Linked DNA regions of Solanum lycopersicum. The protein of the gene in region 2 binds, or shares a complex with, the protein of the main gene of each other region. Links are inferred from orthologs where the notes say so. Each region holds a gene or a part of one and is shown on either strand. Other genes may lie near its edges.

What was found.
Region 1: protein PLASTID TRANSCRIPTIONALLY ACTIVE 14 (region 2) and thioredoxin-like fold domain-containing protein MRL7, chloroplastic share a complex: the UniProt entries of both Arabidopsis thaliana proteins name them as parts of the transcriptionally active chromosome (TAC) complex. The link is inferred for Solanum lycopersicum from reciprocal best matches to the Arabidopsis thaliana genes PTAC14 and MRL7.
Region 3: protein PLASTID TRANSCRIPTIONALLY ACTIVE 14 (region 2) and protein PLASTID TRANSCRIPTIONALLY ACTIVE 7 share a complex: the UniProt entries of both Arabidopsis thaliana proteins name them as parts of the transcriptionally active chromosome (TAC) complex. The link is inferred for Solanum lycopersicum from reciprocal best matches to the Arabidopsis thaliana genes PTAC14 and PTAC7.

What each region holds. Positions count from the first base shown.
Region 1 is NC_090801.1:60,373,630-60,377,832, reverse strand, and holds the start of thioredoxin-like fold domain-containing protein MRL7, chloroplastic, read right to left. Parts: upstream 2,830-4,203; 5' UTR 2,620-2,829; exon of another isoform or gene 2,526-2,619; coding exon of another isoform or gene 2,492-2,525; exon of another isoform or gene 1,975-2,491; 5' UTR 1,952-1,974; coding exon 1,206-1,951; intron 1,102-1,205; coding exon 1,017-1,101; intron 934-1,016; coding exon 822-933; intron 708-821; coding exon 604-707; 3' UTR 595-603; intron 521-594; exon of another isoform or gene 511-520; 3' UTR 1-510. UniProt on the Arabidopsis thaliana protein: Plays an essential role in early steps of chloroplast development. Involved in the regulation of plastid gene expression. May positively regulate plastid-encoded RNA polymerase (PEP) activity through binding to FSD3 and CITRX/TRXZ.
Region 2 is NC_090801.1:61,881,570-61,885,828, reverse strand, and holds the start of protein PLASTID TRANSCRIPTIONALLY ACTIVE 14, read left to right. Parts: upstream 1-1,344; 5' UTR 1,345-1,569; coding exon 1,570-1,638; intron 1,639-1,733; coding exon 1,734-1,952; intron 1,953-2,845; coding exon 2,846-2,983; intron 2,984-3,459; coding exon 3,460-3,585; intron 3,586-3,829; coding exon 3,830-3,958; intron 3,959-4,259. UniProt on the Arabidopsis thaliana protein: Essential for chloroplast development, especially for thylakoid formation. Involved in plastid gene expression, probably by maintaining plastid-encoded RNA polymerase (PEP) activity.
Region 3 is NC_090802.1:49,579,376-49,583,025, reverse strand, and holds the end of protein PLASTID TRANSCRIPTIONALLY ACTIVE 7, read left to right. Parts: intron 1-3,047; coding exon 3,048-3,380; 3' UTR 3,381-3,532; downstream 3,533-3,650. UniProt on the Arabidopsis thaliana protein: Essential for chloroplast development, especially for thylakoid formation. Involved in plastid gene expression, probably by maintaining plastid-encoded RNA polymerase (PEP) activity.

The DNA.
Region 1 (4,203 bases), about 1.5 Mb from region 2:
ATTATCCATTCATATCTATCTAGGTTAGTATTAATGGAAAAAAGTTCCGTACCTAGCGTGACATACGTCTCCCCCGAAAACAATAACTCTAATTTAGTTATAGCCAGCAAGGTCAAGATACAAGTAACAGAAGATGCATGAACTTTTCTAATTAAATACAGAAAGTAATTTATAGACATCTAGGGCTAGTATGATATGTAAACAAGCAAATAGAACTAAAGTAAGATCATGCAACTGAGTGTTCTCTTTCCAACTATCCTCTTCTATATAGTAATAAATGTGGCACTAATTTAAGCACATTATAGGATATAACCTTTTTCTTCAACCTTCCACTTGCTAATTACATCAGCACCTGCAAGCATCAAGCGAGCAGTACCATGATCTCGTTTCAACCAGTCATTCTTCTAAGGTTCTGCCCTCAATTGGTCAATTGTTTTCCAGTGACAAAACGACCACAATTGGTTCCAGTTATACAGGGATAGATCCATGCTCCACTGCCTCTTTCTTAATCTGCGACGTGCTAGAAGTTCAAATATTTTTAGTGACATTAATCTATGAGCTTCAATGAAAGCCTAGACAAGTCAGCATCAGTACCTCCGTTGACTAAGACTGTTGAGATAAAGCTGCATCATCAATGCATGAAGGTTTTTTCGCATTGTAGTAAAAATATGCTATCATTTGAACCAAGTCATCAGCTGTACGAATTTCTGCACAAATTTATCCGGAGTTGCAAAGTAAACAATCATTCAACATAACAATGAATTTAGCTGAAAAGATTACAATTACTTTATCAAACTAGTGAGGGGATATATAAAGAGTACCTTTTTCCCTGTATAGTATCCTGTTTCCTCGTAAGAACAATATCTGTGGACTTTCTTTGACTTTAAGCGCATAGGCTAGATCCCTCTCAATATTAATGTCAATCTTCACAGTCTACACCAAGTAATTAGGGGAAATGTAAGATAAGAGGGTTTACTAATGCACAATGTAAGGAGAAGTGATTATGTTTCACAAACCCGAGGAGGCAAGCGCTCTTTGGCACTCCAATACACCTTGGCTGCTTTCTCCAGCTCCTTAAGAGCTTTCCAGTTGTCACTAGCCCTGTGCAATTAGCAATTGTCTCAGAGAACATAAAAGACTTGCATATTGCTTATAGAATATATCCTTTAGGACTTCAATTTGTAAACAAAACAAGATCCACTTGCCGATTGTATCTCTCAAAAACAAGTACAATGAGGGGACTGGGATGAAAAGCGAAGCTCTCCCACTCAAGACAATTGATTTCCTTCACCCAGCAATCATCAATCTCCCCCTCCCAATCGATCTCAACTCCATCTTCTCCTATAACATTTTTTATTGGATGCTTGTCAAAATACTCTGATGCTCTAATTCCCCATCCAACGTCTGCATCCAGAGGCCAATTTGGATCCTCCTCCTCAATGATCATTTTCTTTTCTTTCTTATCCCTACTGCTGTCATCTTCATCATCACTACTTTCATCAGACTCAGTGTCATCATCAACCCTATCTTTGAGGATATTCTCGGTATCTTTCATCATATCAGAGTTCTGCTCTCGGATAGAGGCAAATGTCTTTTCTAATGAATCACGAACAAAATCCTCAACTGCAGCTGCTTCGCTCCTGCGACCACGCCTTGGCTTTTTAGGGATTGTTGATGGGAAGATCTTGGCAGAATCTTTGTCTTCGTTATGAGTTACTTTACTTTCCCGGGACCTTATAGCTTTTCTAGACCTTGAACCAGAGTTATTCTTAGGATCAGACACATGTTCCTCTTCAGACTTTTTTGAAGTGGCAAAGCAAGTCAAACGTTTCAAAGGAGGCGGCAATAGGAAGTTAGAAAAAGAGCAAGAACTACAATGTTGCCCTGCTTTGAGTGCAGAGAGTGATGAAATAGCACAAAAGTTAAGATTTAATGCAGAATGGATGACCATCTTCCCTCGCTTAACTACTTCGCCTGGAAAATCAAAATCTCTATTAGGGATAACTCCTAATATAAAAAACCTGTCGATAACACCAATCAAAATTAAGAACAGATTTTATCAAACTCCTTTCTACAAAACACAAAATAGAAAACATCCACTCCATATTCTTATGTACATAACTAAAAGACAAACAGAAAAAGACTAGCATAACATTCAAAATGTAGTTAAACAAAGTCAACTGTAGAAGCCATAACATTGATGTTGAATTGTTGAGCACAGTACTACTAGCCCACTTTTACAAAAATGTATTGAACTAAGTCAGCATTGTCACCCACCGACACTAAATAGTAGTATAGATGGTGGTACTCCACATGGACTGGCTTAACATCCTAAGTCTGCTTCTGGCTACAGTTAAAAGGTTACCTATTTTGAAGCATAGAGGATAAAAGTCTAATGAGCAAATAATCAAACAGGTTGTGTGCATAAGTTACCAGACTGTCGATACAGTACAAGTGCAACCAACAGTGCATTAATTATGTTTATAACTTGATGATTACAACAATGGCAAACAGCAGAGCTAAAGGTTAGTGAATCATAGAATCAAAGTTTATAGCAATAATAAATAATCCGTTCGCAAGTACTTTGTTACCTTTCTTAAAAATACAACAAAGGACTACCTGAGAATGAAGAAGCTAAATCTCAAGTTCCGTTTGTCCAGTCCCTACTTGTTCTAATCCTATAAGAAATATTTCAACTTTATTTTGAAGGATGGGAGGGCAGAGCAAATGAATAAAAACAACAGCCAATATTTATTTTAAGTTGAAACTTCATAAAAAATATTAAATATTTTTAATGACATGAGGCGAAAATATTTCTAAACTTTATCCAAATGAATACCATAACCCAATATTGTCTCGTAAAACACCTACCTTTGCTCCAAACTTAGGTTTATTTTTTATTTTACTTGAGAGGGGAAAAAATTGTTTAGGGTGATTTCTAGCCTAGCTTTTATTGGTCTTTGGCCTAGAATATTTTTGGGATATTTAATGAAAGTTGAGTAATTAGTTTTATTATATAGCTAAGTTGGTATTTTGACAATTATATTTTAAAGGGAAAAGGGTCAAATATACCCCTAAACTATTAGAAAAGGTTTAGATATACCCTCCATTTAAAGTTTGGTTCACTGATACCTCTTTTGGTCCAAATATGTTCTTAAGTTTGGCCGCTAGGCTAATGGAGAGGGTTGAAAATTCTGGGGTGATAAAAATATCGTAGGTGATTTTTTTTATTTGTCCTTTGTTGGATAAAGCTATTAACGCAATACCTATATTTGGTAGAAAATAACGTCTCTGTGAAATTTAATTGAATTATAGTATGCAAACTAACTTGATAAGAAGAAAAGTTTAACATTGACAAATGAAGTGAAACATTACATATGAATATGATGAATCAGGAATAGTAGTACAGTATCACTTAAGGTGGACAGTATTATTTTGTTATTGATGAGCTTTATGTAACAATTGTTGAGCCACAAGTAACAAGTCAGGACTCAATCTAAACATCAAAATACAAAATTCAATCTTATCAAGAGCTCCATCACCATTCATATCTCCTTCTCTAATCATGTTCTTCAATTCTTCATCACTAAAATCTTGCAATCCCATCAGCTTAGAGTTCCTCTTTAAGCTATCAATTGTGATCACGCCTTTCTCACCATCCATTAACATCCGATAACCTTTGCATAGCTCGTTGATCAGTCCCTCTCCGCATAGCTTTATCGCCATAATTGGCAGAAAATCTTGAAACTCTATATGTACCATCTTTGTTTTACCTGTAGTTCAACTTCTATCACAAATATTGCTTGTTAATGACATAAATTAAAGTGTGATTCATAAGGAAGTTTTCTATGTCCCGTTTTCTAGACTAGTCAGACGAGCTTACGGACTTGTCTATTATTTTCTTAGAACTTGCCTTGCTTGTTGGAAATTTTGTTTTTGGACCAAGTCAGCCTTTTCATTCGTCAAAATGCCTTACAATGGATTTTCAAGGAAACTAATGATGCTCGGTTGGTGCTAAGGAATTCATCTTTCAATTTTATTTTATTTTCACTCAATTATGATAGCAAAGGTGAACCGTCACTTTGTTTATTAAATTCTTGTACTATTATTTTTTCTTCTCCGAAGATGATAAAAATCCTTTATGTTTGAAATTTGAATAGAATATGTGGTCAAACCACGGCTTTGCCCTTTTATGTTTGTATT
Region 2 (4,259 bases):
TATGTCGAAGTTGTCACTGGTACCTCTTTGATGTGTGTTAAAGCTGGTTTCTGACCTTTTTCTTTTTTCTATTTTGCATGGACAAGATCGATATTTTATCAGTTTCTTGATCATGGAGCTGCGACTCAATGGACATCACTTAGCTTATGTTAATTCTGTTGTAGTTTTAAGAACTTTGAAATGTTGTTAATGCACTTGTATTTGTTGCTTACTTGAATTTCCTTTTGCTTGTGGTAGATTTTGCGTAAAATGTGGTAGGAGGGCTACTTGTTTGTCTGAAGCTACGTGATTTATGAGTCAATTTAGTTCTGAAAGCACTGGTGCATCTGTTGTTATAGGACCTCTAATTCCTTTTGACTTTTTTTCTCTTCCTTTTGTACAGATATTGTCTTTGGGGGATGTGGCCTAGTTGATGAAGTTGGAGTAAACTCCATGGGAGACTAAGGTTCAAATCTTAAATAGAGGCAACACATTTGGGTGATCTCTTCCTTCTGCCTAAACCCTGGTGGTAGAGTTATCCGATACCAACAGTACTGAAAGGATGCAGGTACCTAGCGGAATAGTCAAGGTGCATACGACGACCTAATCATGCTCAGTAAGAAGAGAGCAATAAGCATCTCAAGACGAGATCTCCATAGTGTCAATCACTTGAAGTTTGTGATATCTTGTTTCTCTTTGGGGTTCAGGAAGTGCTGCCAACAATGCTATCACACATTATTAATCAGTCTTGGGACATGAACATCCTAACTCAGTCATATGCATAGCTGGAGATGAGAGTTACTTTATTGTAATGTTGACTAAGATTGTATCCAGTACATGGTGCTGTTGTTGGCCTTTCGATTAAATTAGTTGACAGGTTGAAGGTCTTTTCTATGTATAACAAAACATCCAAATGTTTTTCCTGGTACCTTACGTGGCTTTCTAGTTGCTAATCTCATGTCATATGGTTATAATTTTGTATATGATAGTATCATATGACAGGTGCAAATGGTCAAAATTCAGATAATGGTCCTCTGCATGTTGTCCAACATTCATATATTTGTCGATCAACTAAGTTTTGGTCCCAAATTAGTTGCATCAATCCTTTGATTTTTTCAGATGATTTATAATTACTTGATTCGAACAATACTTAACTAGATTTAAGTAAAGTTTTATTTGTAAATTCAAGCCTAATAATAAAAATGATATAATATAAAGTAATGTTTGATTTAAAATTATGATTTTATTATAATTATTTCGACGTCATTGATCCCTCTTACCGCCAACATTGATAATTTTTACACAGTGAAAACAAAGTCAGACACATTTTTAAATATTTATTTTGCTAAATTTCTTTATCACACCGTTTCCATAAAGATAAAAGAATATATATAAAAATAAATTAATAAATTAAGTAGCAGAATTGTGGAATAAAATAGGGAAAAAAAATCAAAAAATTTAAACCCAGGAAAAACCCCTGGGCACTCTCTCACTGACAGTAGAGTGGATAACGTTTCAAGAACCCAAATTCCATCGATGTATGAATCTTCTTTACTGAAATTCCACTAAATTTTTAGCTCACTCTCAAGAATGGTTTCTTCCACCATTCTAATTCAGCAACCGACGAACTTCTTCCACCAGCCAGAGCTTCACCATCAGGTTAGGCCTTCGCCCCCACAAAACCAAATCATTCAAGAATGAATCTTTTTGCTTTTTGATTTTATGGGTGTTTGATTTTTTAATAATTGAACCAGCTATGGAGAGGTCTGCAGCATGGATGTGTTGCATCATTGCAGAAACAACCTATTTTGGTATGTAATAGTAACAAGAGAAACAGACCTTTGAGAGTTTCTTCAAGTGCTAATGGTGCTGTTACTTCTTCCACTTTGGAGGCCTATGATTCTTCTCCGTCTCCTTCTGCATTTCCTCTTTTTACACCCCCTTCTCAACCCCAAGATACTCCCGCTTCTCAGGTATTTTCTACTTGCCCCTTCTGTTTCATGTTCTTGAAGTTCAAGTTTAGTTTAATCACATCTTGTTACTTTCTGTGTGATAAGTGCTGTTTTCTTTTGGTAAGCTCACTGTATAAGTGCAATATGCAACACTTTTATGTACTCTTTTTTGTAGTTAGAGTTTTGGCACTGCATACCTTTTCCTCTTCAGTCATGGTTTCTTTTACTTTAATAGAATGCCAAACAAACAATGGACAACAATAAGCACTAGTCTCTCAATAAATTGAAGGAAGTGACAGCCAGGCAGTTGATGTTTGGAAAAGATAGGAGTTACACTTTGAAGATCGATGGAATTGTTCTTATGAATTGGTTTTGTTCCTCATTCAGATTTTCTTCACAAATTATTTGGTTCTAGGTCAGGTCCCATATAAATTTTTGGTGATTACTGTGTTAGAAATACAAAATGTTCTACATCAGGTATAGGGGAATCATATACCTAAAGCATTCTCTACTACTCCTTCACTGCATAAATTTTTCTTTAATATGTCGGAATTTCTAACCAATTAGTAAGTCCGTTCTCACACGTGTGAGTCTGCATTGGTTTCAGATATATAGAATGCCTAACATCTGGTGTTTAGGGGCATCCAAAGGGTTATGATGATTTTGAGCTACTCCCCAATTACCTTAAGATTTTCACTTAGATGCTCATGTTCGTTCTCACGTTCTCATGCATAGATATCCCATTTCTATTGTTACATAGTCAAACTAATGGTTGGAATCCCTCTACTTTCTCGGTCTTACATCCTTTGAGAAGCTGATGAACATATATTTTCCTATTTGATTATTTCAAATTATCCTTATTTTCTCCTGTTCTAATTGTTGATGATGGTGGTATAACATTTTCATATGAACAGTTGGAACTGGCAGATCCTGATTTCTACAAAATAGGATATGTTAGAAGTTTTCGAGCCTACGGGATTGAATTCAGGGAGGGACCAGATGGGTATGGAGTGTTTGCTTCCAAAGACGTGGAACCTCTCCGTCGAGCTAGGGTGAGCACTACCTTACAACATGTTTGTATGTACAATGTTTTCCTCCTCCTGATGAAATGTTTAACTATATCAATTACCATCGGAAGCAGTGTCAAATTTACTGCTCCATCAATGTTTTACTATACCAAAAGCTGGACTTCATCCCATCAATTCCACCATGAAATTGGTGGGGGTAGGAAAAAAGGACATGGGAGAATTGTAATACCTTTAAACTACCTTCCTTCTCTCTGAGATAAGTATCTTTAGTTGATTTCCCTCATTTGCTTTTTAACCTTGATAAGTTATATTTGCAGTGGCTAGGCACTACTAATTCTTCTCCTGCTGTGGTGTATTTTATCATGTCCTACATAGTTTTGACTGTCTAATTCATTTGGCATTAGCTTGGCTGTTTGATTGCTCTTTTCGCACTGATTATCTTCACACCTTTTCGTTATCACTAAAATTCAGTGAATCATGAGGTTTTGTTTGTAATGCAGGTAATAATGGAAATTCCTTTAGAACTTATGTTAACCATAAGCAAAAAGCTTCCTTGGATGTTTTTTCCAGATATTATACCTGTAGGACATCCAGTATTCGACATTATCAATTCAACCAATCCCGAGGTAAAAGGATGCATTTTCCTTTTAAATATTTTAATTTTCCTACTAAATATTATTTAATGGAACACATGGGAGAATATTTATCCACATTTTCTTTGATTGGATAAAAATAAAAATTAGACGTCTTACCTTTTCCCTAATGGTACACATGAGAGGATTTGTTTTTATGCTCTAAATTTTTTCATTTTCTTTTTGGTTTTCTAAGATTTCTTGTGACTTTTTAATATTGATTACCTTCTTATGGCAGACAGATTCGGACTTGAGGTTGGCGTGCCTTCTTTTATATGCTTTTGATTGCAAGGACAACTTTTGGCAGCTATACGGAGACTTCTTGCCTAGTGCTGATGAATGCACTAGCTTTCTTCTAGCTACCGAGGTCTGGATATGAGTATCATCCAAATTTCAGTGCATTCAATTAATGTAATATTTTGTGGAAGATTCTATAGAAAATGCTATGCATTCACAAAATTATTCTGCACTTTGTTATGGTGTTCTGCTGAGGTTCAAGTTTGAGTAACTCGAAATGTGAATTAGAAAAGCTTTTGTGATATTCACACTGTTATGTGACCTTTGCTATTAGTGGGTTCTAATTTATAACAAAAGTTTCTTCGACTGAATCTTGTTTTTTTCCATGACTGTTGAAGCTCTCTTCTGTGTATTTAAGTCTATTTTGGAGT
Region 3 (3,650 bases), on a different chromosome or scaffold from region 2:
TTGAAAGAATTCCTGCCCAAGAATGACATCGGATATATCCAAAGGAGCTACGGTAAAGTTTGTCTTACCTTTCCACCGTCCTAAAGTGATGCCGACCCCATGAGCAATTCCACACACGGGAGTTGGTGGGGCATTGACCGTCTTGAGGCGATTGTTACTTGGAACAATTTTCAGTCCCAATTTCTCTGCCGCCGCCTTGGTCATGATGTTAGCCTCAGCCCCGGAATCTACCATGGCCCGAACTGCTTGCCCATTGATGGAGATATCCATATATTGTGTGCTGAAATCCCCCGGGTTGTCAGCCTGCTTTGCTATGGCACCACAGATTCCAACCATGCCCAATTGAGTGGTGTCTGCCGGTTTCGCCTTGTCTTGTGCCTCCTTTTCCTTCTGCTCACGGACGATGGCACCAAGGCTCTTCATCTCTGGGCACCTAGCGTAACCATGTGGTCCGCCACATATATAGCACCCGTCTCCTCTACTGGACTGCGTCCGCTTCTCCGAGAACTTTCGGCGTTCGAACCGTTTGCCATCGGACTTGGGTGTGTCTTGCTGCTTGGGTTGTGCCGACGGTTCTCTGCCTCGGCCACGGTCTCCCCCACCTTTAGCTTGACTGCCCTTTGCCTCCCTGCCCTTCGCCTTGTCCAAACGATCGTGTTTGAAGTCTGTCAAGGTCTCGGCTTGAGTGATGGCCTCATCGATGGTTTTTACTTGACGCCGCTCTAACTCGGTCCTCGCCCAATTCTGCAGCCCGTCCATGAAGGTGAACAGCATGTCATCTTCCGTGAGTTGGGGAATCTGGAGGGTCAAGATTGTGAACTCCTTCACATAGGCCCTAATACTTCCCGTCTGCTTCAACTCCCGAAGTTTGCGCTTCATCTCATAAACAGCATTGTTGGGGAAGAAAGCTTTCTTGAATTCCTCAAGGAATTGTTCCCATGTGTCGATGGTGCGTGTGCCCCTCTTGATCTCGGCATCTTTGCGTTTCCACCACAACATGGCTACGTCGGAAAGATACAACACGGCAGTGTTGATCTTGCTTGCATCGCTCCTGACCCGATTACACCTGAAATAATTTTCCAAGTGCCATAAGAAATTGCCTACCTCTAGGGCGTCTCGGACACCCTTAAATGTTGGTGGCTTGGGAACCTCGACCCTGGTCTCCCTCTCCTGGCCAAGTGATGCTGTTGCTGCAACCTCCCTCTCTTCTTCGAGGGCTACTACCTTGTTCTTCAGGGTCTGGATCATTGTGGTGGCATCCAACAACCTGAACTCCAAGGAGGTAATGGACTCCTTCAACTCCAATTCAGTCCGCTTGCGTAGATCCAACTCCTTCCGGATGATGTTAACTTCTTCAAGGGAATTTTCTTCAAGGTTTTTAACATCGCTGTCCAAACCATTCAAGCGCTGCCCCAAAATCTCAACAGCAAGTCTTGCCCTCTCAACGCTGGCAATCCATTCATGTCCAACAGTGACGTCTATAACGTCGTCGCTGACGTCGTCTTCACTTTCCACATCTGTATTCTCCTGGAAAGATGTTTGTCCGTCGCCTGGTGGAGGATCATTTGTTGGCAGATCGCTTGATGGTAAACCTCCTGGTGGAACACTGCCTGATGGCAGGTCGCCCGAGGGGACACTGCCGGATGGCAGGTCGCCTGGTGGAAGACTGCCTGCTGGCAGGTCGCCCGGTGGAGGGTTGGGCAGACTGGGTTCATTGCCCTTCTTGTTCTTTCCCTTTTTGTTCTTCTTTCCTCCCTGAACGTTGGGGGTGCCGCCACCGTTTCCTCCGTTCGTCATTTTCCTACGATAAACCAATGCTCTGATACCAACTGTCACGGACTTTTTGATTCGGACTAAGTTCCGTGCGGCACTAGACGGTTTACTCACGACTCTTGCACGTTCTTGCAAACTCTAGTAAGCCTAAAACTCAGATCGCTAAGAAAATAAGAAGTAAGACAGAACTTTGGAAGAAGGAACTTCTATTACTTGAAAATAATTGGATGCTTTACAAGTAAAGTAATCTACTATTTATACTACTCTAATGCTGCCTAAGAGTTAGTAAATAAACTATACAAGTTCCTAAGACTATGCCTACAAGACAAGCTTCTAAGTCTTCCAAAAAGGACTCCTAGATGCTCCTAGTCTGCCCCATGATCTCCACAAGCCTCTCAAAGACTTGTAACTTCTGTAACAGCCGCCCCACTAACTGTTGTAACAGCTGAAACTGCTGCCTCTTCAGCTGCTGCAGGCCTCCTTGGCTGCTGACCTGCGTGGTCAGCCTGCTCCCCTGCGCCTGCTGCGCCTGCTGGCTGCCTCGTTGGGTGGCGTTCGGCCTGAATGGATGGCGGGACGTCACATTAGGCTCACTTACTATATATATTAAGTTAATTACAAATAAATACTTTGAAGAATTTTTTGACTTCAAACTAATCAGTATAATCAAAATTATGGAACTCAAGATAACCTGTAAGTTATGACTCTTGAATTTTCTTTAAGTAATAGTTGAACTCTCAGCAATTCAAAGTACTACATGAACATGGAATTTGTTATGTGTTTTCCAGTCAGTGACTATTGATAGACCCCTCACTCAGGACTTTATCTGTATGTGTACTGTTGGTGGTTGGATTTTAATCTTTGTAAGGATGGAGGATGGAATCTTTAGTTCCAACATCTCTAAGCTTTTATGTGCAAGTGTTTTATGTAGCTTTTCTTAGCTGGTATTCTCTAGGCAAAACATTAACTTCTTACAAGCGCCCATAAGATAAACACAACAGTACTACTCCTTGATAATGGTTAACACAATTGTGACGAGATTGCTTACTTACGGAGAGGGGTATACTGAATTCCACAGTGGTTGACTTGTCATTTATAAAACTTTGTACCTTTATAGATTAGGATTTAAAAACTTCTAGCCTTTCTTATTTCTCTTTCAATATGATGGTGGAAGGGCGAGAAAAGAATCTAATCTTTATCGTTAATGTTTGTTTTGAATCATGCTGAAAACTTGTTAATAGCCTGCTTGTTGTATATTCTAATTTTGGTTTCAGACGAAGAAAGATGAGACATTAGATGCCAAAATGGAAAGGATTCCATTCCTTGAGGAGCAAGTGAGGAAGATAAGGGATGGGGGTAAACTATTGACGATGGACATTCATAGATTATTACTGAACGAGGACAACCGGTTTGATTTTGTCAATGAGATTGCAGCAGAGGCCAAACAGTATGTCGAGAACAACCGAGATGAGTATGGTGCAAAGAAAGCTATCCTTCACGTGCTTAGTAATCGTATGAATGATGCTGGTGTTTATCGCTCAGAAGCATACATGGACTCTGACCCCTTCAAGCCAGGCCCTGGATATTTGAAAGACGAACTACTGTAGATCATTAGTTAGCTATACTTTCTGTATTCATATAGCACTTCTCTAGTATATATATACACTTTCTACTGAGGGATTTAATGCCAAAAGATGAGAGTTAAAAAAATCATAGCACTTCAAAAAAATAAAAAAATACGATCTGTTTCTGCATTTAATTATTCATTGCAAAAAGCAGTACAATATTCTATGCAGATACATTTTCATTTCCATACTAGCTAATTTCCCTTTTTAAGACAGATAACTGGTTTCATTGGGTAAAGCATTATATATACA